Linked DNA regions of Styela clava. The protein of the gene in region 1 binds, or shares a complex with, the protein of each later gene. Links are inferred from orthologs where the notes say so. Each region holds a gene or a part of one and is shown on either strand. Other genes may lie near its edges.

Region 1 (16,313 bases):
TTACTTTGCCGTATAATAAACTGTAATATTTCTGTCTACTGGTGATTTGGTAATACCCATGACATCACAAGATCTCTCCAGACAAAAAATTTAATTAAAAAGTAGTAGTTTAATTTATCTTTCAAAACTTTCTGGATCATATCAAAAAGTAAATATATCGGAAATATCTGTATTATTTTAGCCGATACATGGCCGATACCAAAAAAATGGCCGATATTGCCGATACATCGGTACATCTCTAACTTAAACAAGGCCAATCAATAGAAAAAGAATCTTGTGAATCTAGTCTACAAAACAAAGCGTGCAATGATGATCATCGTATGAATAGTAACATTTTACTTTGCCTAAATCTTTGGTGGTAGAGTATGATAGATGAAATCACAAAACAACTGATCCCACTGATAGTTCAGAGCAATTTAGAAGTAAATTAATTGAGCAAAAATAGCAATATAATCAAATAACAAAGATATGATGGACCATTTAGTTGATCAACATTAGCATGTAAATAACCAAATATAAATGACATGGAAAAGAAGTGCTATTCGATTGACCAACAATAGCACTTTTAACAATTGAATGGCGAAGACATGAAAACGGTATAGTAGTTGAAACCCCCGCAGTATGTGAACCAGGTTAGGGCTAGGCCCAAACCCCATTCAGACTTTTGTTATCTTAGTTCCATCACGAGCTTGGGACTGTCCATGTCAGCCAAGCGAAAACATCCCCTGCAAACAGGTCTCGGTCCCCCTCACAACTCGATGCAAAGCAGGCGAACAGAGTCAGTTACCCGCCCATTGGTACACATACTTCTCGACCGTTCATTAATTAACCAAAATTACATAGCAATATCATAAACATCAAATATATGAAATAAGCATCATTCAATTGATTGACAATAGCAATGAAAGTAATTAAATTAACACAGGTAATGGTAAAAAAGGACCTTGACACAAATCTACAACAATGTAGAGCAGAAAATTGTGTGTATTGAAAAGAAATATTACAATTACAAGTGATTTGAGTTATGGGAGTGGAACTTATCCATTATACATCACAACTACAGATAGGAGTACAGTCAGGAATGACTGAAAGGCAGGTTAAAAGTAATAGGAATTGCTTATTCAGTCATTTGGCTTTAGTATCAAGGAGATTCAACATTATTCAAATATGGTAGATGCAACTACAAGACATATAATGAAAATTGAACAAATAAAGCAACTTTGTTCCACAAGAATCTTAAGAAATATAATAATAGATACAATAAATAATATATTTCATCTGCCAACAAAAACACGCAAGATCACAAAATAGAAAGCTGGGGAACATTGCTTGTGATATTGAAACAAGTCGGCTTACTGAGGAATTGCACTTGATTTGCAAAGTGGCACTTAATGAATAAAATGCTTGCAAACTAGTCACTGATTGCGTGTTATACCTCTTTGACATCATAAGAGTTTCAATGTTTAAAAAACTCTTTGCATCAACTTATGTTTACCTTACATTAGCACCCGTTTACTGCACCTAAGACATTTGCACCCATTGACGTTTTCACCCGCATATTGATTGTTCCCCCGGAAATTTACTCTAATAGGCATTTGAACTATGGTAAATATTTCGGTGAGATGCAATTTGTAATTCGTGTACCTTTTTGAATATTTTTGTTCGGAATCTAATTGCAGAATTGTAAATATCAATTCTGATATTTATTCGATATATTTTTTTGAAAACTCTCTAGCGGCAATAAGGTACAAAAGCCTTTTATAATAGTAGAAACATGAAGTCAATATTGGCAGTAAAATATTTACAGAATACTATAAAGTGCTTCAAAACTTGTTTTAAAAATTTCCAGAATTGCATGATAATGTTGTTTTTAGCAGACTGAATTTGCCCAAAATGACTAAATGGTTTAAACCAAACAGATATTGTGCTGTTTCGGTGTTGATAAATTAATTACGCATAATTCTTTTTCATAGTTTTAACAAAACAAAAATTAGGTTGTATACAATATTATATTCAGGTCATTATTTCTACTTCATTTCAATGCGACCGCAGTCGAACAATTGCTATAACAATCTTCTTCCAACTTTCCTTGTCCTCCATCTCACTGGCAAGATTCTCCCGTGGTATCCCCGTGTCCTGTTTAAGTTGATCAATGTATGTATGTACGACGCTGTCTACCCACGTCGCTGTCTTCTTTTCCCATATTTTGGTTTCCATAGGATCAGTTCATGTACGATTTCTTTCTTGTTTCTATAGCAGTGGCCACTGAATCTAAGGCGTCTCTCCTTTATTATAGTTGTGATTCTTGGTAATTTACCGTATAGTGTTTGTTTGGAATTTTGTCCTGCCATGTTACTCTTTTACCTACTCTTAGCATTTTCGTGTATGCGCCGTCCAGCTTCTTGCTTGCTGCCATTGTGGGAGTCCGCGTTTCTGATCCATATAGGAGAACAGTTTTTGCTGCAGCTCTGAAAAACTTTATCTTTAGTTCTTCCTTCAATCTCGATTTCCAAATTTTTTCTAGTTTGGACAGTGCTGACCAGGCTATTTCAATTCTGGTATTTATATCCTTTGAGCAGGTGTTTACCCATCCTCCAAAATATCGAAAGTCCTCCACTTGGTTCAGCACATCTCCACCTACCGTTTTCAATTCTACATTGTCCTGATTGAAAAGCATGTATTCCGTTTTGGAGCTGTTGATGTGTAGTCCTATTTGCCTTGCTGCTTGTTTCAGTCCCGTTAGTAGTATTTGCGCTTGGTTTAGGTTTTTTGTCATTAATGCCGAGTCATCTGCAAAATCAGCATCGCAAATTACTTTTGCTGGGTGTCGCCTGCTCCTAGCTCTATCGAGAATAAATCCCAGGTTTCGTTCCTCTTCAGTTGTTTGCTTCATGACATAGTCTAAACTCTAAAGCGATTATAAAGAGATATGGCGCCAAGGTGTCTCCTTGTAGTACTCCAGCTAGTATTTCAAAAAACTCAGTGTTGCCGTCCGGAGATATGACTTAAGCTGTATTGTGCATGTATAGCATGTTAATAGCGGTGACTATTTTGGGAGGGATCCCGTACGCCGCCAGTATCTCCATTAGCTTTCTTCAATGTACAGAGTCAAAGGCCTTGCTAAAATCGACAAACGTGAGTATTGCTGGAAGATTCTTATTCTTTATCTCTTTTATAAGTCTTCGTAATGTGAGAACTTGGGCCACTGTTGATCTGTTCTGTCTAAATCCGTTTTGATTAATTCTCAACTTACTATCTACTTGCGGGTATATCCTGTTCAGAAACATTCTGTTGTAGAACTTTGCAGTGACTGCTGATAAAATTATTCCTCTGTAGTTTGTTGTTTTTCCTAGGTCTCCTTTCTTTTGGACTGGTAGAATTGCACCTGTTCTCCATATAGTAGGTAGGCTACAGCTACATCACCATTGTATGCTTCATTACAGACTTCAAGTAGCTTGTCTTTCAGACAGTCCATCTTCCATACTTCTGCTGATATCCCATCTAGACCTGTCTATAGGTAGAATATCGTAAACTTTCTTGATTGGTTTGTCATCTATTGTCGGTGGTTGTCCTAGCAGATTTTGGAAACGTTCCATCCACAGCTCGATTTGCTCTTCTGATTTTTTTGCTTTGATCTTGTTTATATTTGTTCGTTTCCTGCCAGTAATTTCGTTGATGATGTTCCAAGTTAGTCTTGCTTTGCCCGTGTCGTTTGTATTTTCCAACTCCCTAGTTTTTTCTCCAATATACTTTTCTTGTTCGCTCGTGTATGCATTGTCGAGATCTGCTTTTGCTTTTTCCAGGACTCGCTTGGTGTTGAGCGTGGTATCATTACTATTTTTAAATGCTTGATGTAGCGCTTCAGGTCATTATACAAAAATCTAAGTTTGGCCTTTCTAGTTTTTCAAAATTTATTATTTAATATTCTCGTAAAATTTATTGAAAATTACTCAACAAGGTCGTCTTTGGGCTGAATATATATTTTACTTGCAAACTGAGAAACATAAATCACAGTCATGGATATGAAAGCAACGTTTCTACAATATTTGAGATCATATATTCCAAACAAGCCTCTGTATAACTATAAATAAGTGACTCTTCAGTGGACCACTTATATCCATAAGTTTATTTCAACTCCATAATCAGCATAACAGCAATAAAATGATTGATAAAACAGACAAATAAAAACTGATTATGAAATCAGGAGAGCAAACAAAAACATTAGACCGCGTTCAAAACGTACAGAATATAAGATGGAAGCAGAGGCGTGCCAAACTTTTCTGCTGCCTGGGGCGAGTTTCTGACTATGACGCCCCTTATCCCTAACTCAAATAATATTTTGGGGGTTAAACAGATTATATATGTTGTTATACATGAGAATAAATAAATTAAAGGTCAAGTAAGAGAAAAACGTTTGTTTTATTGAATAAATCATCAAACTGAGCAATAAACTCGCTCGTATAAAATGGAACTCATTAACAAAATGGAAGTCACTTATTTCTATGTCCAGTGGCTACTTTGCTGTCAACAAATGTCTGAACGACAGCCTCCTCCACCTCGCTTGTCAAGAATTTCTTTCGATGCTAATCAGATCTAAACTTGAAAGGCGCTAATTTGGCATTCAACTTTGAGAAAGATCGTTTGCAACTAGCTATTAATTTTTTAATTTCGAGTAATAAACAACATGCAATGCAAAAAGTTGGAAAAAGTAGACGTTTTCGCATCCAGATTTTCTGCCATGGTTGTAAACTATACCTCATTTTCGCGTTTTTGCATGTTATTTTTTAGTTTTTGGTAATGTTTCAGAAATTATTAAATAGTTTAAGTACTCGTGTAGCCACCTTTACAATGAGCACCAAAAATGTTGCAATTGTAAAAGATAGGAAGAATTTTTCTGGGGTCAACTCATCATCACCACAGTCAGCCAAACAATACTAAACACTAGGGATGGGACGACTCCGGGATTCGACGAGTCCGAGTAATAGGTCATGGACTCGAATCCTCCGAGTCCGTGACGTCACAACATAAAGAGAGAAAAACACGTTTTTGACCATGCTAAAGCATCGTGCGCTCACAAACATAGTCTAGAGATGTACCGATACCACTTTTGTCGCCGATACCGATCCGATACCAGCTAAAAACGCCGATACCGATACGTCGATACTACAAAAGGGCCGATATTACCGATACCGATACTATGTAATTATTACTTAATTAGGTGTGCTGAGTAGGGCAGACGGGTTAAAACAATAGTCTTTGAGCGTTGTTCATAGTACACATTATTTCAGATCGAAAAAAAAAAGATATATCACATAATATGAAATTAATGTTTAGTATCCATATGCTTTAACTGATTAAGATACATTGTACAGTAACGCTAGTAATCTCGGTGTTCAATTAGAAAACTCATAAGCCGGGATGTCCAATTTGAATTTAATGTTAATATCGCGACCTTCGAATATCGTTATTCGTGTTTAAACGAATATCGAATATCGCCCACACATTCTAGCGCCGCCGTTCTACGTTCAAATTAAAAGTATTTTATAAATGTTTTATTTAGTGGCTAATCGTAATCGTCAACGCCAACATGAAAGAATAACAAACAGCACCGACAAAAAGAAGGCCCACCTATAACCGTCGAGGATATTTTTTTACTTTACTAATTTTATAATATTTTACAATTTCTTTATTTTGAGACAGTCTAGGGCTAGGCGGTCATGTCAATATATCTATAAAGAAATTGTGTAGTTAAACAGAATTAAAATTAATACCTGTGTAGTGGGATAATTGTGTCGGAATTTAGTTTATCGATGTCGACGGACTAAATGACACTCGTACTTGACGACAAACAGTCAGAATTTATACCCGTGCCAAAAGTCCATGTGCCGTTAATAAGGACCCCAATTCCACTGTATGATTTAAAACTGGGCGCCTAGTTTTTGTTATGTGCTGTGTTGATATATTTCTTCATAAAAACTATGTAATATTAAAAATGTCAATATGAAAATTTGACAGCGAAAATAGCCAAATTAGTTGAGCTAGTTTGGCTGATAAATAGCTAAAACACGTGAATCCTATTCTCTCGCGGGGGTAGGGACATGTATGGCTCATAGCTCACGATCTCTCCAGACAAAAAATAAATTAAAAAGTAGTATTCCAACTTATCTTTTAAAACACTCTGGACCATATCAAAAAGGTGAATATATCGGAAATATCGGTCTTAATCTAACCGATACCGATACATGGCCGATACCAAAAAAATTACCGATATTGCCGATACCGATACATCGGTACATCTCTAAAACATACATCGTAGCCAATATTCCCTCTAATTTTTTGTATTATGTGTGCGCAGAAATTTTGGTGTGTGCGCACTTTTTTGGAAATGACTAATATTTGTGCAAAAACCAATGAAGAAATTTTGACGTTCTAACCGGGTAATAAGTGGGCCAACAACAAACTTTCTCAACCTGCCAACCGAGAACATTGTTACATTACATCGATTTACGTCTGTGCGCAGTAAATCTATGCGTGTGCGCGGCCCCTGAAAGCTGTGTGCGCGCGCACACTTTAGAGGGGACACTGATCGTAGCTCATATTTTTTGCCTAAAGGTTTCGTAAATAGCTGTTGAACCATTTTAGAACCACATTTTTCCTTTTTTTTTGCGGTCTTAATACAAACGTAAACGTGGGTCAATGTGCGCCTTGGCTGTGAACTGGATTTCCAGCCCACCACCTTGCGTCAATTCTGGGCGGCTATTCAGAAATTCTTACATGTCAATATGAAAAAATAAAAAGCTTTTGAGTTTTGACTACAATGCTTTCCCATAATTTCAGATATTTCTAGCCGTAAATTTACCATGTCACGTGCACAAATGGTAGAGAAATGCCACTCGTCGTCAATACAATGTGGTACATCTGCTTGCAATTTAGTAGTTCATGTAAACGTTCTAAGCTTCCATGCTTTTCATTGCTCCCTTTTTAGAGAAAGGATTGCATGTAATAAACTCGATTTAAAAGAGGTATTGATGAGATTCCCCATTGGGTTGATCCAGAGTATGTTTCAATTTTACGCGAATCACAAATATTGCGCTAACACATATTTTATTGTGTACCACATGTATACGAAAAAGGATAGATAGTTTGAAGGCGCCTGGCGCAACATCATTGTTATAATCGGTCAATAGTTTTAAACTTGTGTTATATTTTCTGGATATTTGTCGTCGTTTTTTATTAGAAGTGTTTATAATGCACACGGGCGATATTGATACAGATCTGACCTTGAATTTTACCTAGTTAATAAACAATGTTCTGCATTAGCAGTGTTCACAGTACGATTGCAGATGCAGTAAAATTCCGGACATTTGGGCATTTTTTTTATATTCTTTCAGGACGCAAAATTTAATCCTAAATTCCGGATGGTATGGCAACCCTAAGCTAGATTGCGGCGGGTACGTTGATGTACTCCACAGTTTTATTTAGCAATCGGTCGCAAACTGTTGGTCTAGTTTTTCCGGGTTTTAGTTTATTGATAAGAAGTCTTCTTCGAGATTAAAATAAGCGACGGTAAATCTCGCTTTCGTTTACGACGGGAATTTTATTTGCGGCGGAACGAGGGAGTGTTTTTGAAATTTATGCAAATTTCGGTGTTTTTTGGGTGGTAATAGAAGACATATTATCCCTTCCATCTACCAAAGTATTTTGAGTTAGATCACGAAATTGCTACAGCAATATTATGCTATTGTTTGCTAACCACGAAGTGGTAACAGTAAAGGATTTAGCGAATATTTCTATTTTTTTTATCACGGTTTGAAGTTTCAACTCCCAAGAAAAAAAAGCCTTTTTTCTATCCGGTTTGTGACTCAGACCACCACTTTTGAAAAAACTTTTTTTTTTGCTAATTGCAAGCTCTTTAAATAAGCTTTCCAACGAGCCGTCAGTGGGCAGCAGAGGATCATTAGTTTTTCGTTAGTCGATCGATTAGTTGTGGGGGTACAAATTCATAAAATCGGCGTAGCAAATACGATTATTTAATAAAAAATAAAAATCGCATAGAAAGGGTTAAGGTATGTAAGATTCGTCGAGGCAAAATTACAAATAAACGCGTAAATTAATAAAAACAGAATTGATTATAGACTCAGTAAAAATGACGTGGACTCGAAATCGGATCCGAGTCAAAAAAATGCCTGGATTTAACTCGAATCCGAGTCCGGATCCGAATCCTGGCCTATCCCTACTAAACACATAATGTCAGCTTTCAACGCAAACTCTACAGCTTGGTTCTGCTGCCCCCTACAACGTGCTGCCCGGAGCGGTTGCCCCCTTCGCCCCCCTCTAAGCACGCCATTGGATAGAAGGTTTTTCAATTAGAATTGGTACCATTGAGGGTATATACACCTCAATGATTGGTACATGTTCACCAACGACTAACGACAACGACGTGTTCACTCACCTAAAATATTTGAATTATTAATGCGATAAATTACATACTGATAGTAAACAAAAAATAAATAAAAATTAGTTACCGATATATTTAGTTTTTGTTTCATGATTTGTTTATTTTATTGTATATGATAATATTCATTCATGCAATTCATTATTTTTGTGACCAGTAAATTGTGACTTTTCAATGTACAATATGCGAATTTTGGGATTTAGGGTATTACTCTACTGTTGATTTCAATCCTTTATCTGGCAACCATAAATAAGTGACTTCAGTGGATCTCAAAGTGACATTCGCTTGCTTCCGGGCGTGGTTACGTTGTCTTCTACACGCGCTCTTGAAATTACTTTGTTGGTCATACCTTTATAGAGTTTGCTTAAATATTGCTTGACGTGGCTCTAACAATGAAGCGACAGGGTGAAAAAGACAGTCCTTCCAGAAATAAACGCTCGAAAGTACGAAATGGTAGTCCAACCCGCCGAACTTACAGCCGGCACAGCAGGTTCGAATATTATTGCTGAATTATGGCTTTCAGCTTCTTTTTTGTTATCATTAATGTTTTCCATATCAAGCGTCTGAGCGTTGCTATTGATGCAAACCAGAATGTTCAGATGTTGGTTCTGTAGAATATTGTATACCGGTACATTACCACACTGCTTGGTCAGTTGGTACCGGTACGGTACCGTACCGGTATCAGTCTTTTGACTGATTGATTATTGTCCCCAGGCTGCCAAGACTGCAGGGTAAATACTGAAATGAGCGAGATAGATGTGAAAATCATATCCTAATTGTCTGGGTGAAGTTTAGGCATCGCTGACTTCAGGTTTCATATTACGGTACTTGAATAAATCTTGTTTTTATTGGCCCATTCCTTATCTATTTCATTATTTGCTTGTCATTAACTGTAATCATATAAATATAATAAATATTTCGGTTAGATGCTATTCCTAATTGGTCCTTTGGCCTCTCGCATTTGGGTACGTTTTTGAATATTTTTTTCGGAATCTAATTGCAGAATTGTAGTCTAAATATTGAATCTGATATTTTTTTCTAAAATCCTGAAATCTCTTGCGGCAATACGGTACAAAAGTCAAATATTTCCAGAATATTATAAAGTGGTTCAAAATGTATTTCAAGAATTTGCAGAATTCCATGATAATGTTGTTTTTGGCAGACTGAATTTGCCCAAAATGACTAAATTGTTTGAACCAAATAGATATTGTGCTGTTTTGATGTGATGAATTAATCACGCTTGACTAATTTTCATAATTTTAACCAGACAAGAATTAGGTAGTATACAATATTATATTTGGCTCATAATATCCAAGGAGTCAAAACAAAAATCTAAGTTTGGTCTTCCTGGTTTTTCAAAATGTATTATTTAGTATTCTCTAAAATTTATTGAAAATTACTCAACAAGGTTGTCCTTTGGGGCTGAAATTGAAATATATATGGTAGTTCAATGACTAAGAAACATCATTCGCAGTCATAGATATGATATGAAAGCAACCAACTTACAAATATAGAAAATTGAGGAATTTGACTGAATCGATTTGGTATTGGTAGGAATGGTGTAATTTTATATTTAGGTTTTCAATTTTTATATATCAAAACTAGATAGGCTACATGGCCAACATACCCCCCAATATGAGAAAATCAATAGTTGAAGCAGATACGATTTTTAAGCTTTTTAAAAGTAATTCATTATCCAGAACGGTATTGTTGGTATCATTTTATCTATACGTCACCACGAATAAAGATTTTTTATTACAGTAAAAATTTCGAATTTTTGGGATTAATGAATTCTTTTACACTTATTTATTCAATAATATAACAAAACATGCTCATATAGCATCATGTCTATTGATGCTTCTAAGTCCTATAGCGATCACAATTACAAACAATATACCCATTATATGTTATGATCGATACAGCTTTTGCTTTTTCTAGATTAATGAATTTGTTCATCACATATAAAGTGATGCATATTCAAATGACAGAACTTGTTTTTCTTGTATACGTCCCTTTGGAGATATTTATATTTAGCAAAAAGTGAATGTTGTGTAAGAAGATTTGTTTTGCTACCAAAGAGTCATCAGCAATGTGTATACTTCTATTGTGTATTCTGCACTACGCTGAAAGTACTCTACACTTCATACTCAAAGCGCATAAGTGATATATTTACTGACCAATCAAAGTCACTGGGAATTATCTCTGCTTAAATTTGTTTAATATGCTCAACGAGCTGGAATATTGAATAAAAAAGGTTTATATCTGTTTACTGTGAGCAGTTGTTATGCTGCACAGTGCTCTTTTATCTGGAAAAAAGGTTTATGAACACCTTAATTCTAAGCAAATGGAGTATTGAAATTATACTTCCCTGTTTTGCTGTGGAAACGGGTTTTCTGCAGTGTGTGCGCTTATGATTGAGATAAAGGTTTATGAACACCTTACTATGCAATATGATAAATGTGAAAGTTTGAAAAATGTATTCACTGGTAACAAATTATTGCACCTTAGTATGCAATATGATAACTGTGGAAGTTTGAAAAATGTATTCGTTGGTAACAAATTTGAGACGATGTAAAAATGCATAAACACCTAATAAAAACCATTACCTAGCTCGTAACACTGAGATATTGAGAAAGGTGTCTTTCTGTGAAGTTACTGGCTGAATAATAGGTTAGGTTTATGAAACATTGTATCTTATCTCTTATAGCCCGCATCACAGAGATGATCGGAATGTTGGGAGGAGAAATTCGGCTTATGGGAAGAGCGAAGATTCATATTCACCTTCGCAGAGATTTACACCACCACCTCATCGTGATGATAGAAGACGAGAAGGAAGAGAACCGAGTCGAGGAAGTTACAAAGTCTTGTTGGTGAAGAATTTCAGCTCACAGATATCTGATGTCGACATAGAAGAAAGTCTATATTACGAATACAAAAAATTTGGAGATGTTTCTGTCAAGGTTTCTACAGACAACAGAGGAGATCGTGTGGCTTATGCAACATTCAGATCATCTGGTAGTGCAAATGATGCAAAGAATGCTAAAGGACATTTGGTGATGTATGACAGACGACTTACTGTTGAAGCGGTGTATGAGAGACGAGAAAAAAAGACAAGGACTCTTTCACCATTGCCGGTTCCTGACACTAGAGAACGTGAACCAAACTATCGCAAAAGATCACCCTCTTTTCAGTATGATGCAGCACCATCACCTAGAAGGCGATCTCTGTCTCCGGCTTCTGAAGGAAAAAGTTACAGTGTCCACAACAGTCCTACCAATACAGAACCAACCGAACCAAACATCCTTCCTGAGGATGACCCTTATGCCACTAGGACACTTTTTTTGGGAAATTTAGAGGCTGACATTGGCAGCGGTGAGATAAGACGCTGTTTTGAAGTTTATGGCAGAGTCGAAGATATAGACATAAAACGATCCCAAAGAGGTGTAGCGTATGCGTTTGTACGATTTTCCAATTTGGATATGGCATACAAGGCAAAAGTAGCCATGCAAGGGAAACCAATTTTGAAATTTCCAGTAAAAATTGGATATGGAAAAGTCTTCCATTCATCAAAGTTATGGGTTGGTGGTCTTGGACATTGGACATCATTAAGTGTTTTAGAACGAGAGTTTGACAGATTTGGTGCAATACGCAAAATTGACTATGAAAAAGGGACTAGCTATGCTTATATTCTTTATGAAAGCATTGATGCAGCGCAAGCAGCATGCAGCCAAATGCGTGGTTGTACTTTACATGGTTCTGACATTCGTCTGAGAATTGATTTTGCGGATCCTGACCCTGGAATGCCAGGATATGAAGCATGGTTAGGAAGAAAAAATTACAGTGATCGTGACTATCATGATAGAGGTGGTCATTCGAGAGATAAAAGGCATTTTGATAGAAATGATGATCGTGGGAACTTTTATCGAAAAGAACGCCCAAGGGAAAGATTTCATAATGACAGGGGTCGACCTTACGATCGGGGTAACAAGGGTAATAGAGGGCAAGACGGTGGGCGGAGATCACCTGAGAGGTATAACAAACGTTCAAACTCCGACAAAAAGTCCTCACCCAATCGCGCCTCAGTTGTAGTCAGTGAAACTAAGAACAAAGGCCCACATGAGTTTGAGCGTCGGTATATTCCTGCGCAGAGTGAAGATGCTGAGCTCAATTTTAAACATGATCAAATGAAGATTGCAACAGATCTTCATGCATTATGCCAAATACTTAACCCGCCTTGCTGGGATGGTGCCTTTGTATTGAAGAAAACTGCTTTTGCTGTGAGATTTTTCCTACTTGATGGTGATGTTGGACTTATTAACAACATGATCACAACAATAACAGCTCAAGGACTACCTGCAAGAATTTCTTTTCTACACATCACTCAAAGACTAAGACAAGACGAAGATAAACTTCGTGATGTAAGTCGAAGACTAAAAGATCCCGACAGTAAAACTTGTTTGCTTTTGGCAGTACCTGGTATGCCTACAAACGTTAGTAAAGCAGACAGTGGTTCTGTTTTCACACAACAAAGGCCTTTGCGTGGCTTAGTGAAGTACTTCAAAGATAAGGATGCTGCCGGGGTTGTTGCATTCCATGGACCGAATCCACAGCCTGATGCTAAAAAAGATAAAGTTACATTGGGGATGCTGCATGCTTTCCCACCTGGGCAATTTGCAAACGATCATTTGTTTTCTTTGGCACCTTGCCTCAATCCATCCTTAATTATTGAAGAATACATGGTGATTGTTGTAGCTAGAGGTTCATCTGCTTCGTCATGATCAATGCCAACATATCAGTTTAGTACATTGCTACTATGACGATTGCATGTTTGTGTGAAAGGGAATATTGTTGGGTTGTTTTCATTTATAATCAACCAAGATTCAATTTTACAATTCCTGTGTACTAGTTTATTATTCTGAATCCAAATTCTTTTCGTTCATAATAACAAGATAAAATTACAATATTCAATAAATTTTTCAGAAATTTTCCTCAAATAAATTCATTAAAATTTCTAATTGTAATCGCATGTGTTACATAAATGAACTTGCATGAATGTTTTTAATAATTTGGTTATATCTTATGCCAGACAGATGCTACCTTGTTTGTTTGCCTTGTTCATCATATATTTTTTCAAATCAAGACTAGCTCCAGAGAATTGTGGTTAAATAAAAATTTTGAAACTAGTTTTCACATTAATATACTTTTGTGCGTGGAGAAAGCTGTGTCGAGCCTGCCGACATTTATGATTTTCAATTGTGGATTTTGGCATGAGGGAAAAAATCTCTTCATTAGCATTTCGTAGGGCAATAATAGAGGAATATCTTGGGCTTCATCTGACTCAAAAACATGTTCAGTTAAGCTGAACGAAAATTCTGGTCATTGTGTACTAGGTTTAGTGACTAGTATCAAACATTGATATTATTTGTTTATGGGAAGATCTAGTGGTCTCCGTGGTAAAGACAATTTGGCACCCGTTACGAATGTTGAAGACACACCTAACCGTGCATGATTCAAAAAAAAACTTGAACATTTGTTTTTCTGGTAGATACAGTCTCAAACTTTTTTCAATGCCCCAAATATTGAAGTCATCGAGTGGATCTCCAATTTCATTCAAACAAACTACTATTAAGTACAATAGTTCTGAACGGATCGGCCTCGATAGTTGATCAATAAGTGCTTATAGGATATGGCAACCAACTGATTCGAAATCAAGCATGTTTGTTTCGGCCATCTGCGGCTATTTAATTTACAACAGCTTCTACATTTATTTGCTTAATACTCGTTTCCGTGAATATCAATCAATTGAAAACAAAAGTATAAAGTATTTTTACAAAGTTGGTTCATGCGTATAAATGTACTTGGATGTTATCTTTTCAGTTCGTCTATTCTAGGGGTTTTCAACCTTTTTTCCCGTCAAGTACCCCCCGAGTCACGAAACAATGAACGCGAATCCCCGGTAATCAGACCCTGAACAAAGTTGTCATATACTGATATATTGACTAGCAATTTGTTGCAACACCAATTTATTGACCATATGTAACTAAATTGAATCGTCTTTTTGATATTATTGCCCTTTTCGACTGCCTAACTAATGGATTCTTAAAATTTCTCCCAAGTTTCAATAAGCATAACTCTCTAATGCTCTCAGCACGCTGTCTTTAGAAATTTTACAGTTTGTACGCAAAGCTTTGAATTTAACATTGTTGCATCACAATCACAACAACGCAAGATCAGGTAAAATCTACGTTTCAATTGGCGTCTAGTTTCATTGGGCACGCATTTTCCCATGGTATCAATAAAGGATATTAAGAAACAGCAACATACAAAAACTCGACTGTCATCCGAGTACCCCTAGAAATCTTCTTGTGAACCCCTGGGGGTTGGCGAAACCCAGGTTGAGAACCCCTGGTCTATTCAATAGATTTTTTTATACTCCAGATCGTAACATAAATATCCAAAGTGAAACGCGAGAGATTTAAGTGTACCAATTTCGGAAAACGGTGTCATGAATGCAACGAAATTCATTTCGATCGCGAAATTCCCGATCAAATTGATTCGCCCGGACGTCCGCTAATACATAATCTGTCATTTCTGTACAATTTAATTGTTTTATAAGCTACGAACCAATTTAACTTTACTTATGAAGAGTTGAAATAAATGTCATAGATTAGTGATCTCTATTTTGGGCTAGCTAGACCATACACCCGATGCATGACAAACTTTTGATGGATGATAAATGGGTTAAAAAAAAATTTCACTTTAAAAAGAATGTGCGTCATCGATACAATCAATACATACATCAACGAGAAACCTGCTATTTGTCTTAGTTCAGAGCCGAGGCAATTGTAATTTTCGATTTTATGAAAGTCTTGTCTAGGCTTGCACGTAATTGACAAAAATCAATTCCGTAATTACGGCCAAATCGATTACGTAATGACCCCGTAATTGCGATATTTTTTTCACACATTTAAACCTATCATAACAACCAATTTAATCCACTTTTATTCCGAATGGGATATCGAAGTTTGGTTTTCATATTCCCGGCAGTACTACACGCCGGCGACAGATGTTAAAGACAAATATCAAGGAGTGAATTCAAAATAATTTTATTCTGATTTTTATCTTTTGTATTAGCTTTGATTTTTTTTTATCCACTTTATCACCAAATTTTATGCGATCAATTTTATCATTACCAACACTGGTAATATATTTAAGAAACGATAGTTCACTTTTTTAAAATCGTATTAACGTATTAATTCGACCTTCGTATTGAATAAAAATTCCGGGTTGCTAATTTATTAATCAACTACAAGCGTATTCTCTCGTTTGATTATACTTTCGCTTGCCTCGCGACGAAGACTTGTTATTTCCCTGTTTTTTACAATATCCGACTTTACTACTTAGTTAGCATTTTATAATAATTATTGATGCCGACTTATTGACGATATTCCGAATTCCATGCTTCATTTTACTTTAAATAATTTCGCGGCCTAAAAGTTATAACATTATTTGCGATAAATTTAGATCAAATATTAATTATTTGCGCATTATTTAAAATACCGTACTTATATGACATGCCTTCTCCGAAAATACAAAGTTATATCGCAAAACAATGCATTTTGTGACATTTATTTTGCACTCATGAAAATATTAATTTATTTTTCTAACTCAAGTCGACAATCCTATTTGCCAAGATTGACACAAGTTTGGTCGAGTGCTGGTGGTATTCGAGTCGACGATAATTTATATTGCTGTTTGATAAGCGCGACATTGATTATCACGGCATTTACAAATAGACCATGTTTTATTAGTTGATCTCTTACATTCTTTAGTCATTTCACCCGAAGAAGTTGAAACC
Region 2 (17,343 bases), on another chromosome or scaffold:
TCTCTTGTTCGTTTGAGATCGCATTTTAAAGTATATCACAATTCAAACAGTCTTTTCTCGATGATTCTAGAGAAATCCATGTAAAACGGGGGTGATTCATCATATCATATGAGAATTATTCACTTTTGCATACGGCTATGTGTCGAAATATTATATTAGAACGTTCTAGAACAGGGGTCACCAAACTACGGCCCGCGGGCCGGATCCGGCCCGCGACGTCATTTTATCCGGCCCGCGGCGTCATTTTATCCGGTCCGCAATAACACGCAAAAATGGCTAAATTTTTTTCCAAGGAAGATTTTACGAGCATCGTCGTCCTTGTTTATTTCGTAACATTGGCCGATCGGCAAGATGCAGAAAAGTGACGTAATAATAGGCCTTTCCGCATCTGCTCAGACACTTTTGTCACTCTGACAGATTTTCAGTCGTGGTTGTAAACAAAACTTCGTTTTTGCGACTTTGAACGCTACCAGTACGTAACGTTTTCTGCGATACACTTGTACACTCGTGGCGCTTGCTTTCGACGAAACTGTTTGTTTTTCGTGCTAAAATAAACATCGAATGTGCATTTTGTGCTAACAGTACTGTAATCCCTCGCGTACTGCTCCAATTTCAAAAGCCACACTAACTTTGTACTGCTTTAATGCGGATATTCATGTAGGTATGTTACAAAAAAATTGAAGTTCATCCGATTTAAATAAAAACTGCTCCAGTGGAAAGATCTGAGTAAAAATAGAAAACAATACCAAGTTTGGAATAAACGGTCAAGAAATAACGGAGATATCGGAATTTTAGTACCGCCCGACAGCCAATTTTTTCCATAATGATTGTATTACTTTTTTGATAAGAACTGAACTAAATATGAAAAAATAACACATATCAATCACTAATCTTTCGATGTGCGTCACATCTATGGTATATTGAGACTATTTCAGAATTTTATTCTGGCAACGGTCATTGACACCGCCGAAAGATCGTCGCAAATAAACGCTGGAGTTGTGCATGATAGTTTGACAGTGGCTCAATGTGGGTAATAATTAACGATGTTCTGATTGTACGAACTTCATAAAAATTGGTAAGTATCAAGTTAGACAAGAAATACACACGTCGATATAAATTTTATTGGTGTCCGTAGACAATATCATTAATTTGCACTACGTATAACTGGAGCGTAATATTTAAAAGCGTCGAATGTTGGGAAATTTATGCGCTAATGAAAAAATTCAAATACCAGATAATAGTTGTTTATTTTATCTAAATCATGTCAAAATTTCATAGAATTCCAAGCTACAGCAGGCAGTCGTTTTTATGAGCGGTATTTCAACACGGCGTAACGGTAGACGTGATGCGTACATTTTTTGCCGCGGATTTTGTAACATTTCTAATTCATGAAAGCAACGTTTTGATAACAGCTAAACTCAGGATAGTTGTCTAGATATAGAAATCTTGTTAATTTTTTTTTCCTGGGTTGTTCTCGATCTATATTCTGCGATATTCCCAACTTTTGTGAATTTATTGTATTGCATTGACAAAAATATTCATCCGGCCCGTTTCAACACAATTTGAGTCATACCCGGCCCGCGGTCAAAAAAGTTTGGTGACCCCTGTTCTAGAATAATCTTCAATATTTTATGACGTTGAAATTATTTTTAGATTTGATGTCATTATTTCCAAAATTATTGGTGAATTTGTTACATAATTATCCCGATTTTCTTTATTTTAGTTCTATTACGAGTTCGGAGACTGTCTGTGTTAGCCAAGTAAATATACCCACTGTCCATAGGTTTTAGTCCCTTTACACATCTTGATGTAATATAGGCGAACAAAATTATTTACCACCATATTGGTACACATTCTTTTGAAGCGCCATTTCTTTAGTTTTTATATTTTCGAGTGTATAGTATTAGGCATATCGCTTATCATTATATTGAAAAGCAGTGGACTGATTACGATCCCTTGAGGAATCCCGTTTTCTAATGAGAAAATATTTGAAAGACAATGAGCCTCGTGCCAAACTAAATTTAACCGCAATGTCAACAAATTCCTTGATCTATTTTAGCTGAAACATCACAATTTGATTTCAGTTTGGTTGTGGCAGCATCAGGCGGGCCAGATCGAATTACCCAATGGGCCGGATTTGGCCCGCGGGCCGTACTTTGCCCATGTCTGATAGATATGGTATGTGTGTGGTAAATATCGTGTTTGCTATTGACATGCGCTTCAGCAAATATATCTCTAACGAAGCATACAATCTAAATTATCTCCTATAGGAAGTAGTGCGATATTAAACACACAATATGGGATGCATTGAAATAAACTTACCCAGTCAGAGAATTTATGCGCATAAAAAGCATTCGAGTGGGATAAACAATGTCGTAAGTCAACCAACTGCGTTTACATATACATTTTTTCGACGCATCCAATCATGGCAACAAATTACGCTCTATATAAGGTATCAAACGAGATTTGTTTTAGTTTGTCAATGTAACACCAACTAAGTAAAAGAATAGTTGAAGAAAATGTATGTACGGCGGTGCATAAATGATTTTTGAGACGGATACAGAGACGATGAGGTATTAATGAATGACAGCACCGCAAAGATTTACAAATTCCTTCGATAGGGGTCGTAACTTGCCATATATATATACAGCCAGAAATATGCATATAACGGCAACTCATACGCAGCCAACCAAATAGACATATACTGCCAAGGTCCCATGCATATACAGCCAACTCAATCCACAAATACAGCCATTTGGTTGACGTGGAGATACTGCCAATTTTTTCCTTAAGCATACAATATATACCCTGATGTAAGGTTGCCTACAAGCTATATGAACATTACGATAAATAAAAAATCTACAATTCAAGGTGGATGGACAGATATATGAGAATTCGCAATCTAATAAATCATAATTTTCCGCAACAGCTGATAGCTCATATAATTAGTGCGTTGAAAACGCGTACAAAAACTATGAAACGGCTATTGATAGAATTTTTTTTTTTCATAAGCACTTCGCAATGAATGCATTTCGTGCAGACCAAATAATATTCACACTTTACATGAATATAAGATATAAGTTAGTACATTTATCATCAAATACACAACCCAAATATTGATTGCAAAACTATGCACCGCATGAGGATTTCTCGTGTTCTGTTACAAGCGGTTACCATCGAGGCGAATTATTATCACAGAGGATAACTTTGGTCGTAAGGTAAGTATCGGTACCGGTACCGTAATGCTGAGTGAAAGTAGTGACAGAAATATTAGGAATTACATAAAATAATTATGAGGTAGACGTAATATAATGCCATGATATATTCATTCGCGCCTAGTCTACAAGTTAAATGCTCACATTATGACATAAAACCATAGTTTACTGAATATAGTTCGCTCACGGTCGGTTCGCTACGCAGGAGTGATGCGTTACTACGTCATCAGTTTGCTATATTTTGAAGCCCACGGTAGAGGATTTCCGTTTGAATTTATTTGCATATTTGTAATGGTTTTGTTGGTTGAAATAATTGAAAAGATATACTGACGCATTAGAATAAAGTAGGGGGTCGTGGCATCTGCCAATCATCTCTGCGTCGGTACCATAAGTTATCAAAGTGGAGTAGGGGCAGAGTAATTCTGTTATTCTGTGATTGCATTTATTGGATGGTAATTAAAGGTTTATACCGGGATTATGGCACAAAAGTGAGAATTCAGATACTCCCAAGTATGGGCGATATAAAATACCGAATCCGGAGGATTTGAATACCTAGGACTCGGTTTCCGTCTCTTCGGTTCCGTGCGTCAATTTTTGTACTTCGGATTTATAATTTATTAATCAGGGACGAGCGTTATTCTCTCGCGACGAAATCTGTCTCGCGTGATTATACGAGTTCTCCCGGAAAATGACGTGTCCATATATTTGAGCATTGCTCTCTTGTTTATGTAGGATGTAGCTATCGATGATCATTGACGAATTGGGGTATCGAATATCTCGCTTATTTTTTTTTTGCCGTTGTCCACCTTTTGTTTGAAAGTATTTTATAATTATTGGACACGTGGGTGGACCTATGGATCGTTTTGATATTATGTTGTTGTTTTTGTTGATACTCTTCTTTTTCGTCATGATAAAGTCGCTTTTTTTTCGAATACTGGACCAATTGCTTTGGAATTTTCAGTAGTTGAAGATTGGTTTTACTCTATTACTTTTATTTATTCCTAAATTTTCTATGATACTTATGAGATCTAATATTTCATGCAAAATTGCGCTGTATTACTTTATAATTATGGAAACACGGTTCTGAATCCGTCAAGCGTGACGGCTGACTGTAAAAATTCTTGCGACTGGAAACTCAGAAGTTTTTGAGTGTACGGTACCGGTAACGTCAAAGGTAAGAACTGATTCGCTCTGGTCCACGTGTTCATAGATTTGAGCGTTGCTCTCTTGCCTCATATGTTATCGTAATAGTCCTTGGCGCTGCTGCAATAAATCACAGCCGACGTGACAGGACGCCGACTCGAACTATAATAGCGTAATAATGGAGTATAGTGTCTATAATAGCGTACGCAAAATAGCGAAAAAATCATATATACAAACATACATACATATTCGATATTTTTATAAACACTTCAAACAATATTCGATGGTCGTTATATTCGAATATTGAATTCGAACTGGGCATCCCCGTCAGTCATGTTTACTCATTTTTGAGAGTAAAACACTTTTATTATGTTATAAATGCGGGATGAATCCAAGCACATTGATGCTGACGCTTACCCTTGAGAATAAGGTGATTGAGGAACAAAGCGAAAACGGCGAAATTGATTCATGATTATACTAAACCAAATACGAGTTGTTTATGGAAACAAATACTTAACACCGAATTGATACACCAGAATTCGATTTACAAACTATACTTTCTCTGCGTATACTTTTCCGGATATTTAATGTTCTTCCACAAACTCACGATGGACTTTAAAAATCACAAAGTTGTACTCTTGCATGGCAATTTCTTTCATTGACTCAACGGTATAAAATATTTAATCATTTTAGTTGATGAGGATTTTGAATCATGACATCTTTGTATAAAACGGAAAAAATGTTTCTACTTAGCAAACTGAGCATTCCGCTGATGGTCCATCTCATCAGTAAATTTGCATTACTAGTGACTGGAATATCTTGCTAAGCCTTATGATAGGATAGGATTTACATATTTATCCCGATGGATAAAAAGCTGATAAGATGCTCAATGATATAGCTAACCTTGGTCTCTCGTTCAGATACCAGTCCATGTAGGGTATGGGATTATGGGAAATTTGTTTTCATCGCGGCCACCACGCCAATAAATAACTGAATTCTTCTGTCTAGTGTCATAAAAAATACATGTTATTTTGTTAGCAGTCTTGTGTTGGGTAATTCTCGTTTGCGAAATGAATTTGAGAATGAAATAACGGTAACAAACTTGAGAGTGCGAAGATCCAAATTTGCAAAAATATATTGTGTAAATGTAATTTGTAAGTTTTCCAAGAATAGACTTTGGTGAAAGAGAATTTGTTCAAGAATACAATTTTGCGATGAAGAGGGTTTTAAAAAACGGGCGTTGGCCAGAATGCAGATATGCAAAAAAATAACTTTGTCTGCGGTGCGAAAAATTTATACACAATCCCCCATCTACATCATTCCCTTTAACCATCGAAGTCATGGGCCACGGCATATGCCTGATGCAAAGTTTCATTCACACTTATTAAACCCAGACAGACGCTCTAATGATGGTATGATTAAATAAACAATGCTTATTTTTAAAACACAGCTCAAAAATGAAATTCGCGACATGTAAAAAAGGGAGTCAACTTTATAGCAACAAACTTTACGGAAGTGCAGTTTTGCATAAATATACTTTTGGCGGGAAAGTTATTTTGCAGCAATTTTTATGAAAGATGTAGTTTAATTTAATGAATAAATTCAGTAGTAATTCTAATTTAATCCTAAATTAATAATGCTGTTGTCTATTTCTCTAACTCTAGCCATTGAACCATTTATGAAAAATCTGATTTCTGTCGTCAAATTTGAAATAGAAGTCAGTTCTCACAAAACAACTCATTGACATTAATCTCTAAAGTTTGTTCTCGCAAAAATACAATACCGAAAAGGTTTGTTCTCGCGAAAACCATTCGGTTTGCACGCTGGATGAAACTATCGGCCAAACGAGTCAAAGGTGAGCTCAATACAGTTATAGAAAGAAAAAATACTGTTTATCTATCAGTCTTTTATTATTAGTAATAATTATTAGTAAAAAATTAATAGTAGTTAGTAAGTTATTGGTCATTGATAGTCTTTTTTCGGAAGCATGGACATGATGGTGGAGGAAGCCGTCACCGACCAGCGGTTACGTGAATCACCCTGCTGCGCTGCGGCGGCAATGAGTTCAGCAATCCTCTCGCATACTAATTTTTTGACATGTCAATCCTAACCCCCACCTGACTACATCATTCAAAAATGACGTCACTACACGTCACAACACGTCATAGAACTTTCCAAATACACCTACGATCGCCCGAAATGGCATCAGCGCCGACGATAATTGCTAACTAACGTCAGCGATCTCTCCCCTATCGGGATCGTTGCGACGAGAAAACGAGAAAAATAGCTGTTCGATTTCGGGTTATCGTCTGCGCGTCTTGGGTGACAGTTTGTATACCTTGAAGGGCTCTATTATGTCACTGTGACGTCGTAGTGACGTAATTTTTGGATGGGGTAGTCAGGTGGGGGTTAGGATTGATACATGAAAAAATTGTTATGCTACACCCTCTAGGAGTAGGTACGAAACTACATGAGACCCGGATAGAATTTACATATTTATCCCGACATAGCCTAACTATTCCCGCATGGGATTTCAAGATGTTTCGATATTCGGTTTGATTGAACGAACACTCTAATTTTAAAAATTATAGTGCAGTAGTGTGCTGCCAAACTTGAACCTCTGGTTTTCTGTTTTGCATACTGTGAATGCTGTTTTTTGCGGTTATTTCTTATTCTCTGCCGTGATTATTCATACAATACGGTACATGTCCAAAGATCATTTCGTTAGTACGTTTTCTTTCACTTATATTCACTCCCACATGTGACTGTCTCCTGCCGACAGTTCTTTCTGAAAACTCATGAATTCTTCAGCGGCGATTTTTTTGCTTGGGTACTGAGGTACGGTAACGTTAAATCGTCTGAGGAAAGCAGATAATATGGCGTACCTGTCTGTCATAATAAGGGATAGCCCTGTCTTTACGGCCCACCTGCCGTGGTTACGGCAGCAAAATTTTACCTGCCATTGGTTTTCAATTTGCTGCCACAGTAACGGCAGCTCGTCATTGGTTTGTGACAGCTGAAAATTCAGCCATGGTATGGAAATACGGCCATGGTTTTGCGGCAGCTGCAGACGCCACAGAATACTCAAAACTGCACTTGAGTTTCAGTGTACATTATTAAAAATTTAAAATAATCTAATATCTAAAGATTCTTTTGCATTTCTAGAAGAGAGCTCAATCAAAATCATGAAGTACACCTATAAGTTTTCTAATCTTCTGGGAACCATTTACAAAAAAGGAAATGTTGAATTTTTACCAAGGAAGGACATATTAGCAAGTCCTGTAGGAAATCGAATTTCACTATTCAATTTAAAAGAAAACTCGTCTGAAACACTATCTTTCACAACTAAGTACAATATTGCATGTGTTGCTTTCTCTCCTGATGGAAGGTTGGTAATTGTAATTGATGAAAATGGAAATGCATCCCTTGTGAGTCTTTTAAGTCAAACTGTTATCCATCGATTCACTTTTCGTAAACCTGTCACATGTATAAAATTTGATCCTGCTGGAACAAAATTTGCTGTTGCTATGGAGAAATTAATTTTACTATATCATGCCCCTGGTAAAACACGAGAAATTAATCCTTTCACTTTATATCGAACATATCATGGTGCTTATGACACCATCACAACATTTGATTGGACAGATGATTCCACTACTTTTGCAGCTGGTTCGAAAGATATGAACACGCGTATTTATACTACAATCCCGGGTAATCCTTTATTATTTTCACTGGGAGGGCACAAAGATGAGATTGTGGGTTGCTTTTTCGAATCAAATTCACTTGATATATATACTATTAGCAAAGATGGTGCTTTAAATGTTTGGGAGTCGAACATAGACTTGGAAAATCTAGGCAAAAAAGGATTGAATAGGAAAGATCGTCGTGCTTTAAAAATATTAAATCCTGGTGTTGATGAAGAAGAAAGTGAAATAAAAACAGAACTTTTAAATTATCATAGAGTGTCAAAATATTTTTTCAATAAAGAAGGCAATTATAATGAGGTAACATGTGTGGCTTATCACAAGAAAAATCATGTTTTAGCCACTGGATTTTCATCCGGTTCATTTTCTTTGCATGAACTTCCCGGGTTCAATTGGATTCATTCTTTAAATATTTCGGAACAAAGAATTTCAACAGCTTGCTTCAACCAAAGTGGTGATTGGCTCTCCCTTGCATGCTCAAGTTCAGGGCAATTGCTTGTTTGGGAGTGGCACAGTGAAACGTATGTGCTGAAACAACATGGTCATTTTAATAATATGAGATGTCTCGATTATTCTCCTGATGGACGATACATTGTATCAGGTGGGGAAGATAGCAAAGTTAAAGTATGGAATACACTGACTGGATTTTGTTTCGTTACTTTCACAGAACATACTTCAAGTGTGACTGGAGTTCAGTTTACGAGGAACGGACATGTCATTGTGTCTGCTTCTCTTGATGGAACTGTTAGGGCGTTCGATATGCACAGATATAGAAATTTTCGTACTTTCACATCTCCTCACCCAGTTCAATTTGTGAGCTTAGCTGTTGATTATAGTGCAGACTTGATATGTGCAGGGTCCAACGATAATTTCAATATTTTTCTTTGGTCAATGCAAACTGGCCGTCTTCTAGATGTTTTAGCAGGACACGAGGGCCCTGTTGTCTCTTTATGCTTCTCCTCTGCTGAAGCACTTCTTGCAAGTGGATCGTGGGATGGAACTGTGAAATTATGGAGTGTTTTGGAGACCAAAAGTGCTCGAGAAACCATAACTCTCAACCAAGATGTGCTGGCAATTGCTTTTAAACCAGATGGATCTGAAATTGCAGTGTCAACTCTAAATGCTGAAATTACATTCTGGGATGTCCAAACTGCCAAGCAGATGGGTTCAATTGAGTGCAAATATGATATCATTATTGGTAGGAACGAAAATGACCGAATATCTGCAAAATCTAAATCACAAGGAAAAGCATATGATTGTATTTCTTATATTTCTGATGGACAGTGTGTTATTGCAGGAGGAAAGTTTGCAAGTATTGGTATATATAATGTTAAAGAAGGATTACTTGTGAAGAAATTTACTGTATCACAAAACTTATCATTCGACGGTATGGAGGAATTTCTTGACAAAAGAAAAATGACTGAATTTGGACCTTTAGCTCTAATAGACACCGATGAAAGCAATGAAAAACTGATAAAACTTCCTGGTGTTCAAAAAGGTGACATGTGCAGCAGGTCATTCAAGCCGGAAGTTCGTGTCTCAGGAGTAAAATTCTCTCCTGCTGGCCGTGACTGGGCAGCTGTTACAACGGAGGGTCTTGTCATTTATTCGTTGGACAACAACTTCGTCTTTGATCCTTTCGACCTGGAGATTTCCATCACCCCAGAATTGATTCGTCAAAAAATAGAAAAGGATGAATATGCAGAGGCTATTGTGGTGGCTTTGAGACTCAATGAAGTTCAATTGATATGTGAAGCAATTGAGAGTACTCCCATAGCAGCAATCGAGATGATAGTCAGTGGGCTAAGACAAAAATATGTGGAGAAATTGTTGGAATTCATAAGCACTCAGCTTGACAAATCATGTCATTTCCATTTTTATATTCTATGGACAAAATATATATTTTTGCATCATGCTACACAGTTGAAGCAAAGACAAAATAAAGTATTGGGTACAATTATGGGTATTCTTAAAAAGTTGACCATCAAAAAAGAAGGCTTGGGTTCAGTCTGTGAAAAAAATAGTTACCAAATACAATATATAATTGCAATGTCTAAGTACTTCGGTTCAAAACGCAAAAAGATCAGTGAAGAAGAATCAGATATTGAAGATGAAATAATGGACGATGTGTCCGAAGATTCAGGACTTTCACTCTCTTAAATCCTTTACTCGAGCGTTAAAAAAGGTCATATTGTACTGTATTGTCTGTATAGCATTATAATGGCTTCAAAAAATGATCAATTTTGGAGAAGTGTTTATTTTCAAGATATATCTGATACATTTGGCACATTTTTCTGTTGATATACTTTGGCTCTGTCCTTTCCACAAAATTTCATTTTTGCGACTTGTTATGGCGTACTATTCGATTTATCATTATAGGCTATTGGTATTTCTTGAATATATAAACAATATTATAATTGAATCATTGGTGGTTCCCAAAATATTTTATTATCAGTTTATTAAGTTGCACAATATTAAACATGGAATAACAAATCAACATCTTTGGATTTAGAAATTTGTCAATTTTTGCATTCCATATGCCTATTTGGCTATGCATGTATTTATCGTTTTTCCATGTCTGTAATGATTTCAGTGAAACTATGAATGTCATACTGCTATTTGATTAGTTTTTGAACGAATACCACTGCCAGGATTTTCAATAAACGATTTGATATGATTCTCGAGTATTTTCTTTTTTCAGCCAAATACTGTTGCTATTTAAAAAATTGCAGAGAAGTTTTATTGCATTTTCTTATTCTCTAAAATGAGTGATAAACTCCAACATATTCGTGAAAAACAGAAACGCAGAAGACAACTTCTTGCAAAACAGGTATTTATGTTTCATTTTTGGAATAAAAAGGTCATAGCCATACTATAGAAATGCCGCGCTTGTTACACAAGTAAGAGCAATTCAAATCTGCAATTCATTAAACAGTATATGAAAATTTTTAAATTTGGACATTTTTGGGTTGGAAAATACTATTTGAGGGCGAGGCAATTGAAGTTGTATAGGCAATCCAAAAATTGCCTATACTCGAAGGTTTCGGCTGTAAAATCACATTTAATATGTAGGGTTAATGTAGTCATTCACTTTTTGTGATGTATTTCTTAAAAATATTAGACGACCATGATGAGCGTAGGTATAAGATTATTTTCAAAGTGTCAAAAAAGTCTGGTGAATACAGCACAAAAAAATTTCACCGATTGTTAAAAAATTTTCAACACTGTTAAATCCTTGTTAAAATATTCCAGTTGGGTGTCAACAGTGCTGATAAACTTCACACCGTGCTAAGCAGTAAAGTTGAACAAGAGGAGAAAAAAATCGAAATAAAATCCAGAGAAGAATCATCTACAAAATCTCATGTTCTGACAAAAAAGCAGTCAAAAGATGATGTCGTAAGGTTTTTACTTGCTTGGATGTTGTGAATACAGGAATGCCCATGTTTGGGATTGCAAATTGGTTTTCTTCCAACTTATTTACCAAACCAAATCATGAAATAAGTCTTTACAAGATGGGATGGAATTAGTTGCAATAAAGTATCAATAAATAAGTTTTTAAAATTAAAAGTAGATGTTTTTTTCTATCTAATGATATTTATATATCTTGTAATCCCATTTGATAATTATTAAATATGTTTTTATTGCTAACTTCGCGCTCTTTAAAACTTTTTAGTCTCGTTCCAAAAGCCTGGATAAAGAGAAAGAATCTGAAGAAGTTTTCAAGGATTCCAGTACATTTCTAAAGGGAACACAAAGTCTGAATCCTCATAATGATTATTGCCAGAATTTTGTTGATACTGGACAGAGACCTCAAAACTATATCAGAGATGTTGGTGAGTAGACCTGTAACATAGGCAGGCAACAAGCAATGCAATTGTGAGAATAAAAATTCTGTACCAGATCATTTTAGATAAAAATGTCTGGAACTAACTGAGTAGTATTTGTACCTGAAATCATGGCCTAACCCTAACTTGGTACACATACTACGTTCCGGTGTCCACCATCATGGTTCACGTACTACGGGTCTACTACAGGGGTTATATACCAGCATCGTATTATTGGGGCATTATTTGCAGAACAAGTGAACTTGGAATTTTACAGGTCTGGCTGATCGTTTCGAGGAATATCCTAAATTGAAAGATTTGAATTTTTTGAAAGATGAATTGATACGGAAAACAAACACTCCACCAATGTATCTCCGCTGCGACTTGGAAAATTTTGATCTTCGTGAATTAGGGTGTGTACAAAATAAGTTATAAGTTTGGCAATAACGCACAAAGCATGAAAAACATAGGTTGACATCGCATGGCTGATTACTTGTGTCGGTTCGCAAGTTTATTTATATCTCATAAAAGTCAAAGACATATAAAAAGATTGCTGGATTTCTTGCCCATACACGATGGTTCTTATATCCGCTGATCTGTTACACCTTCATCATTTAATTCCTTGAATCTACAACAAATTAGCTGGTTGATACAGATTACTCAACCTTTTTTTGCTTAACGAACTCACAGTTCAAGTGGGTTTCGAATATCTTGAACCATTTTATCCTGTGCATAATTGATTTTATAATTCTCATTGCCCCATTATTAAGAGTAAGATAAAAATAATTTACTAAAACAAATTCTTACTTGCAGCACAAAATTTGAAGTTATCCTTATTCAACCTCCGCTAGAAGAATATAGAAAACAAGCTGGAATGTCTTCAGATATGGGGAAGGCTTTCTCATGGGAAGATGTATGTTTGTTATCGATATATTTTAGGCATTAACTTCACTCCTACTCACTCAACAAGAGTGAGTGACACCAGAGCTCTGTGCTGTTTTCAAATCGCATAATAATTATCGTTCCAAATTTTACAATGATTTGAAAATATTGAATAAGACAGCAATCCCATGATATTAAATGTCATCATAACAACCAAGTAAATATTAGGAGAGCTGTTTAGTAAAACTTTGTTATTATATTATTCTGTTGTTTTCAAATCATAATATGTAAATGAAAGTTCATACCAATGGTCTCGAGTTTTATTGTGTTTCAACATTCAAGTATTAAAATTCCTGAATATAGCTTTTGTAAATTCAAAATTTGACCAATAGTTTGATGACATTCCTAAATACAGATAATGGCAATGGAAATAGAAGAAGTGGCCGCCCCAAGGTCTTTTGTATTCCTTTGGTGTGGTTCATCTGATGGTCTTGATCATGGTAGGCAATGCTTGAAAAAATGGGGATTTCGTCGTTGTGAAGATATTTGTTGGATCAAAATCAATTTCAAAAAAAGAGTTCCAAGGAATGTTGAACAAGGTGCTCTGTTCTGCCGTTCGAAGGTACCTGTGATAATTCTTTTTTAATATTCTGTACATAAAAAGTAGAGTCCTGAAATCCGAAACGCTGGCGCGGCGGTGTGGCTCATTGTGCTAAGCGTTAGGAATAATTTCGCCACCGCATCTATGATTACTCGGTGTGGGTTCGCAGGTTCGAATCCCACGCAGTGATGGTTATGTGCGAAAAAATTGCTAGACTCCTTGCTGCCGTAGGGTGGTTCATGTAGCCGTTAGTCGGTGACGGCTTCCTCCACCATCAAGTCCATGCCATATGGTTGAGCCGTCTTATCGTTTTTTCTCTCCCCCCGGGATAAATTTGTAAATCCTACCCTACCCTAAAGTTGGTTGTCAATAGAGAATCTTCAACATAAATTCTTCTTTAAATTTGTCTTCCAAATATACTTTCCTAATCATTGTAGATTTAAATCTGTGTAGTGAACATGATATATTCTTGTTTGTTCATATTGTTTATTACAAAATAATAATCATTAGTGATATTATCTCATTAATTTTCATGGAACATAGGAACATTGTTTGATGGGGATCAAAGGAACAGTAAGACGAAGTATTGATGGAGACTTCATACATGCTAATGTTGATATTGGTTAGTACTTAGTATCTAATTCAAGTTGTTGATACTGTGTTTTGGGAAGTAATTTTCGTTGCCACATCATGTGCCAAATTACAGCTAAATCCAGCCCACTTGTGTCTGCTGAAATTACGACTATAGTTTTAATGAATATAAATTTTTGTTGAAAATATCAATCAAAATAACGTCATAATGATCCCGATTGTTACACTGTGCTCCTTATTATTACATAAACATTTAGCAATTGTGTCGATGAATATTCTTATATGGATACCTCTTGTAGAATCAGTTCTGTGATGAAACTCGTAAATCTTAAATAATTATATTTTGTCTGTGTGGACAGATGTGTTTTAGTCTCCATGTAGTATGAAAAATCTATCGTGTGACAGCATATTGTGAGGCATTCTACTTTGTAACATAGTTTTGACAAGGATAATACAAATTACCATTTTTCCAAATTTAGACTTGATAATTGATGAAGAACAGGAGTTGGGAAATGAAGAAAAACCGGAAGAAATATTTCATCTCATTGAACATTTCTGTCTCAGTAGAAGAAGATTGCATTTATTTGGAATGTGAGCCTAAAACTTTAGATAATCTGACATCAATATGAAACAGCTGCTTTAATGTTACCCAGATAAAGTTCTTCAAAAAAATTCGCAATTTGATTTAATCCTAAAATTTTAAGAATATTTCACAATATTCTTGTTTTCGAATATTAAATTCTTTGGTATTATTAGTTAATTTTCTAATCATCTCAAAGATGGTATTAAAATACTCTTATATTGATATCCCAGAGATTCTTCAATTCGTCCTGGTTGGTTAACAGTGGGACCTGGTTTGACCAATAGCAATTTCAATGCGGAAACTTATCGTAATTATTTCAAAGTAACGGAAGACCATCCACATGGTTGTTTCACAGGTGATTTCTTTGTTTTGATTTGTGGGTGTACAGATGTCGGGTCTGTATATTTAGGTATTCCGCTGGAGGTGGTGGCCCAGTGATCTAAGTGTTAGATAGACCTACTGTGTTGTCATCACAGGTTAAAATCCTGGATTCGAATCCCATGCACATCTCACCAAGGCTTTATTGAATTGGGTGGGCAAAACCGAAGCAAATGATCCAGTCCTTCCTATAAGTAGCTCCTCAGCTGGAAGTGGCAGCTTGTGGAGAACCTTGTTCGAGGCAAAAGACATAATTGTGTTGTATACAAAAAAATTAGTATTTTTAAAATTGATGCATTTTGGAACAAATTTGCAGATGTAACTTAGGTAATTTTACCTGATTGAACGGTGGCTTAATTTTTGGCAACATTCAAGATTTACAGCATCAAGTTAGTTTTAAAAAGATTTTCGTTTTCAGTTTTTCATTCTATTTAGGTTGTACCGAAGAAATTGAGAGACTACGGCCAAAGACCCCTCCACCTCGTGATAAGGGGGAGAGAGGAGCACATCATGGCCCTGGTGGCCGCGGATCACGTGGTGGAGGTCGAAGGGGTGAATTACATGGTCAGAGGTCCAGTCATTTGGATGGGTCACATCACTCAACTGGAACTCTGCTGCCATCAATTGGCAGAAATTTTGGGTCTGACCTTCCTGGACTAAACCCTTCATCAATTGGCCTAGGACAAAGTCCACCATTTCGAGATTCCGGTTTAGGGGTCGATGGTAACAGACAAACTTATCCACCTAATAAAATGAGAAAACGAAATCTCATGACACAGAGAGATACCAATCCAAGAGGTTTTCATAACTCTGGCCGTGGCAATTTTAGTAGGAGATAGTATCAAGAGATGTGTTTTGTCCTAAATGTTTATATCCTTTGTCTGAATAGAATAGGATGGAATCGGAGCAATGAAGCCATTGAATGTTTTGAAAGCAAGCATATTTTTAAAATTAAACGTTTTTGATGCATTTATATACCATGTGAAAAACATTGGCGAATTATAGGATTTCTGGTAATCTTAAGAAATTCTTTTGTGGCAACAGTGAATAAAGTCTTTCTGGTGTGATTTCAATGGCCATGTCTAACTGAAATTCATTCTTTTCGTTTAGTTGTGTTGCTTTTACTTCTTGTGCTCCATCGTTATATGCGGTTGCTTCATAATTGATGGTATGGTAGTAGCATGTATATGTATATATTGCCACACAATCAGACAAGTTGTGTCGCAACTTGATTGAAAACAACGAAAAGAATCTTTATGTAACTATAGCACTGGCTATTTGGACGCTTTACTTCGAAATATTAGAAGTTTTTTTTCACGTACAGAAAACAATGCGATTACACTCCCTAAGTTTCACAAAGTGCTTTTTTCGATATTTACTTACACATGATGCGTATAGTTTTCCTTGTTTGCACTCCAAGTTTTGACCCTAAGAATCGATTCCAATGCACCGGAATCGATTCTGGAATCGAATCCGCCATCCCTAGCCATAAGTGAGTTTATTGCGAAATCGTGGCGTCCTTTCGTTGAGGGAAGTTTTATTAAAGAGTGTATGTTGAAGGCGTGTGAAATAATTTTTTAACAATGAGAGTTAACAAATCATCCTTTCGCACACGACTAACGGAAGAAAGTTTGTATGCTGTCTAAAGTCCATCAAACCAACGCAAAATAAGGCTAAACATCGAGTCTCTCACCGCTACAAAACGGTGCCAAATAACCAACACAAGTAAACGAATATATTTCATGTCTCGCTTAGTGTAATATTCAAGGGTAATTTCAACAAACATATTCAGATTTACTTTTTTGATTTTTGTGTAACAATTTTGTATATAATTTGTTAGTTTGCGGCCCACATCGTCAATAAATTTCAAAGAGTGGCCCGCGACATATTTTGAGTTTGAGACCCCTGGTTGGGGCAGCAAAAATCGCCCAGCTTTACACAAAACCGGCAAATTCCTCAAAACCAACTGGAAACGTCACAGTAATTACAAGTAAAAACGCTCTTGTACAAGACGACCAATCCAGCTTTTCAACTGTTGTAACGTCGCCCCCCAAGATCAGTTTTTCAAAATCGGTAACAGCAAAATGACTTGCGCTGACCATGCAGTTTAGAGTGACTGTTCGGTACTATTGACCGACAAACACTTCCCTTATTACAAGTCATCGTTGTATTAAAATCTCCGGTTCGCTGTATAAAATAGGCACGGTGGTATACACCTGGCCACACATGATTTATTTGCAAAAAAAATTATATTTGAACGAGGTACACTAGCATGCAAAAAGTACATATCACGAATACTCCATATATTTTCATGTATTCAATAATAAGGTAGTTAGATAGGCTACTTTGCAGACTCAAAATGATAACATTATCCCAAACTATTTCTTTGCACACCATATCTCAGAGCCTTTGTACTACATAA

What was found.
Region 2: putative RNA-binding protein 15B (region 1) and N(6)-adenosine-methyltransferase non-catalytic subunit METTL14-like share a complex: the UniProt entries of both Drosophila melanogaster proteins name them as parts of the WMM complex. The link is inferred for Styela clava from reciprocal best matches to the Drosophila melanogaster genes nito and Mettl14.

What each region holds. Positions count from the first base shown.
Region 1 is NC_135258.1:21,862,780-21,879,092, forward strand, and holds putative RNA-binding protein 15B, read left to right. Parts: upstream 1-8,712; 5' UTR 8,713-8,847; coding exon 8,848-8,945; intron 8,946-11,162; coding exon 11,163-13,233; 3' UTR 13,234-13,638; downstream 13,639-16,313. UniProt on the Drosophila melanogaster protein: RNA-binding protein that acts as an associated component of the WMM complex, a complex that mediates N6-methyladenosine (m6A) methylation of mRNAs. M6a modification plays a role in the efficiency of mRNA splicing and is required for sex determination.
Region 2 is NC_135261.1:19,293,715-19,311,057, forward strand, and holds N(6)-adenosine-methyltransferase non-catalytic subunit METTL14-like, read left to right. Parts: upstream 1-10,753; 5' UTR 10,754-10,826; coding exon 10,827-10,892; intron 10,893-11,314; coding exon 11,315-11,458; intron 11,459-11,735; coding exon 11,736-11,895; intron 11,896-12,163; coding exon 12,164-12,299; intron 12,300-12,699; coding exon 12,700-12,799; intron 12,800-13,183; coding exon 13,184-13,390; intron 13,391-13,912; coding exon 13,913-13,991; intron 13,992-14,439; coding exon 14,440-14,551; intron 14,552-14,773; coding exon 14,774-14,898; intron 14,899-15,356; coding exon 15,357-15,760; 3' UTR 15,761-16,797; downstream 16,798-17,343. Other genes in the region: periodic tryptophan protein 2 homolog, read left to right, coding at 6,186-6,213, 7,524-10,222. UniProt on the Drosophila melanogaster protein: Non-catalytic component of the WMM complex, a complex that mediates N6-methyladenosine (m6A) methylation of mRNAs, a modification that plays a role in the efficiency of mRNA splicing and is required for sex determination.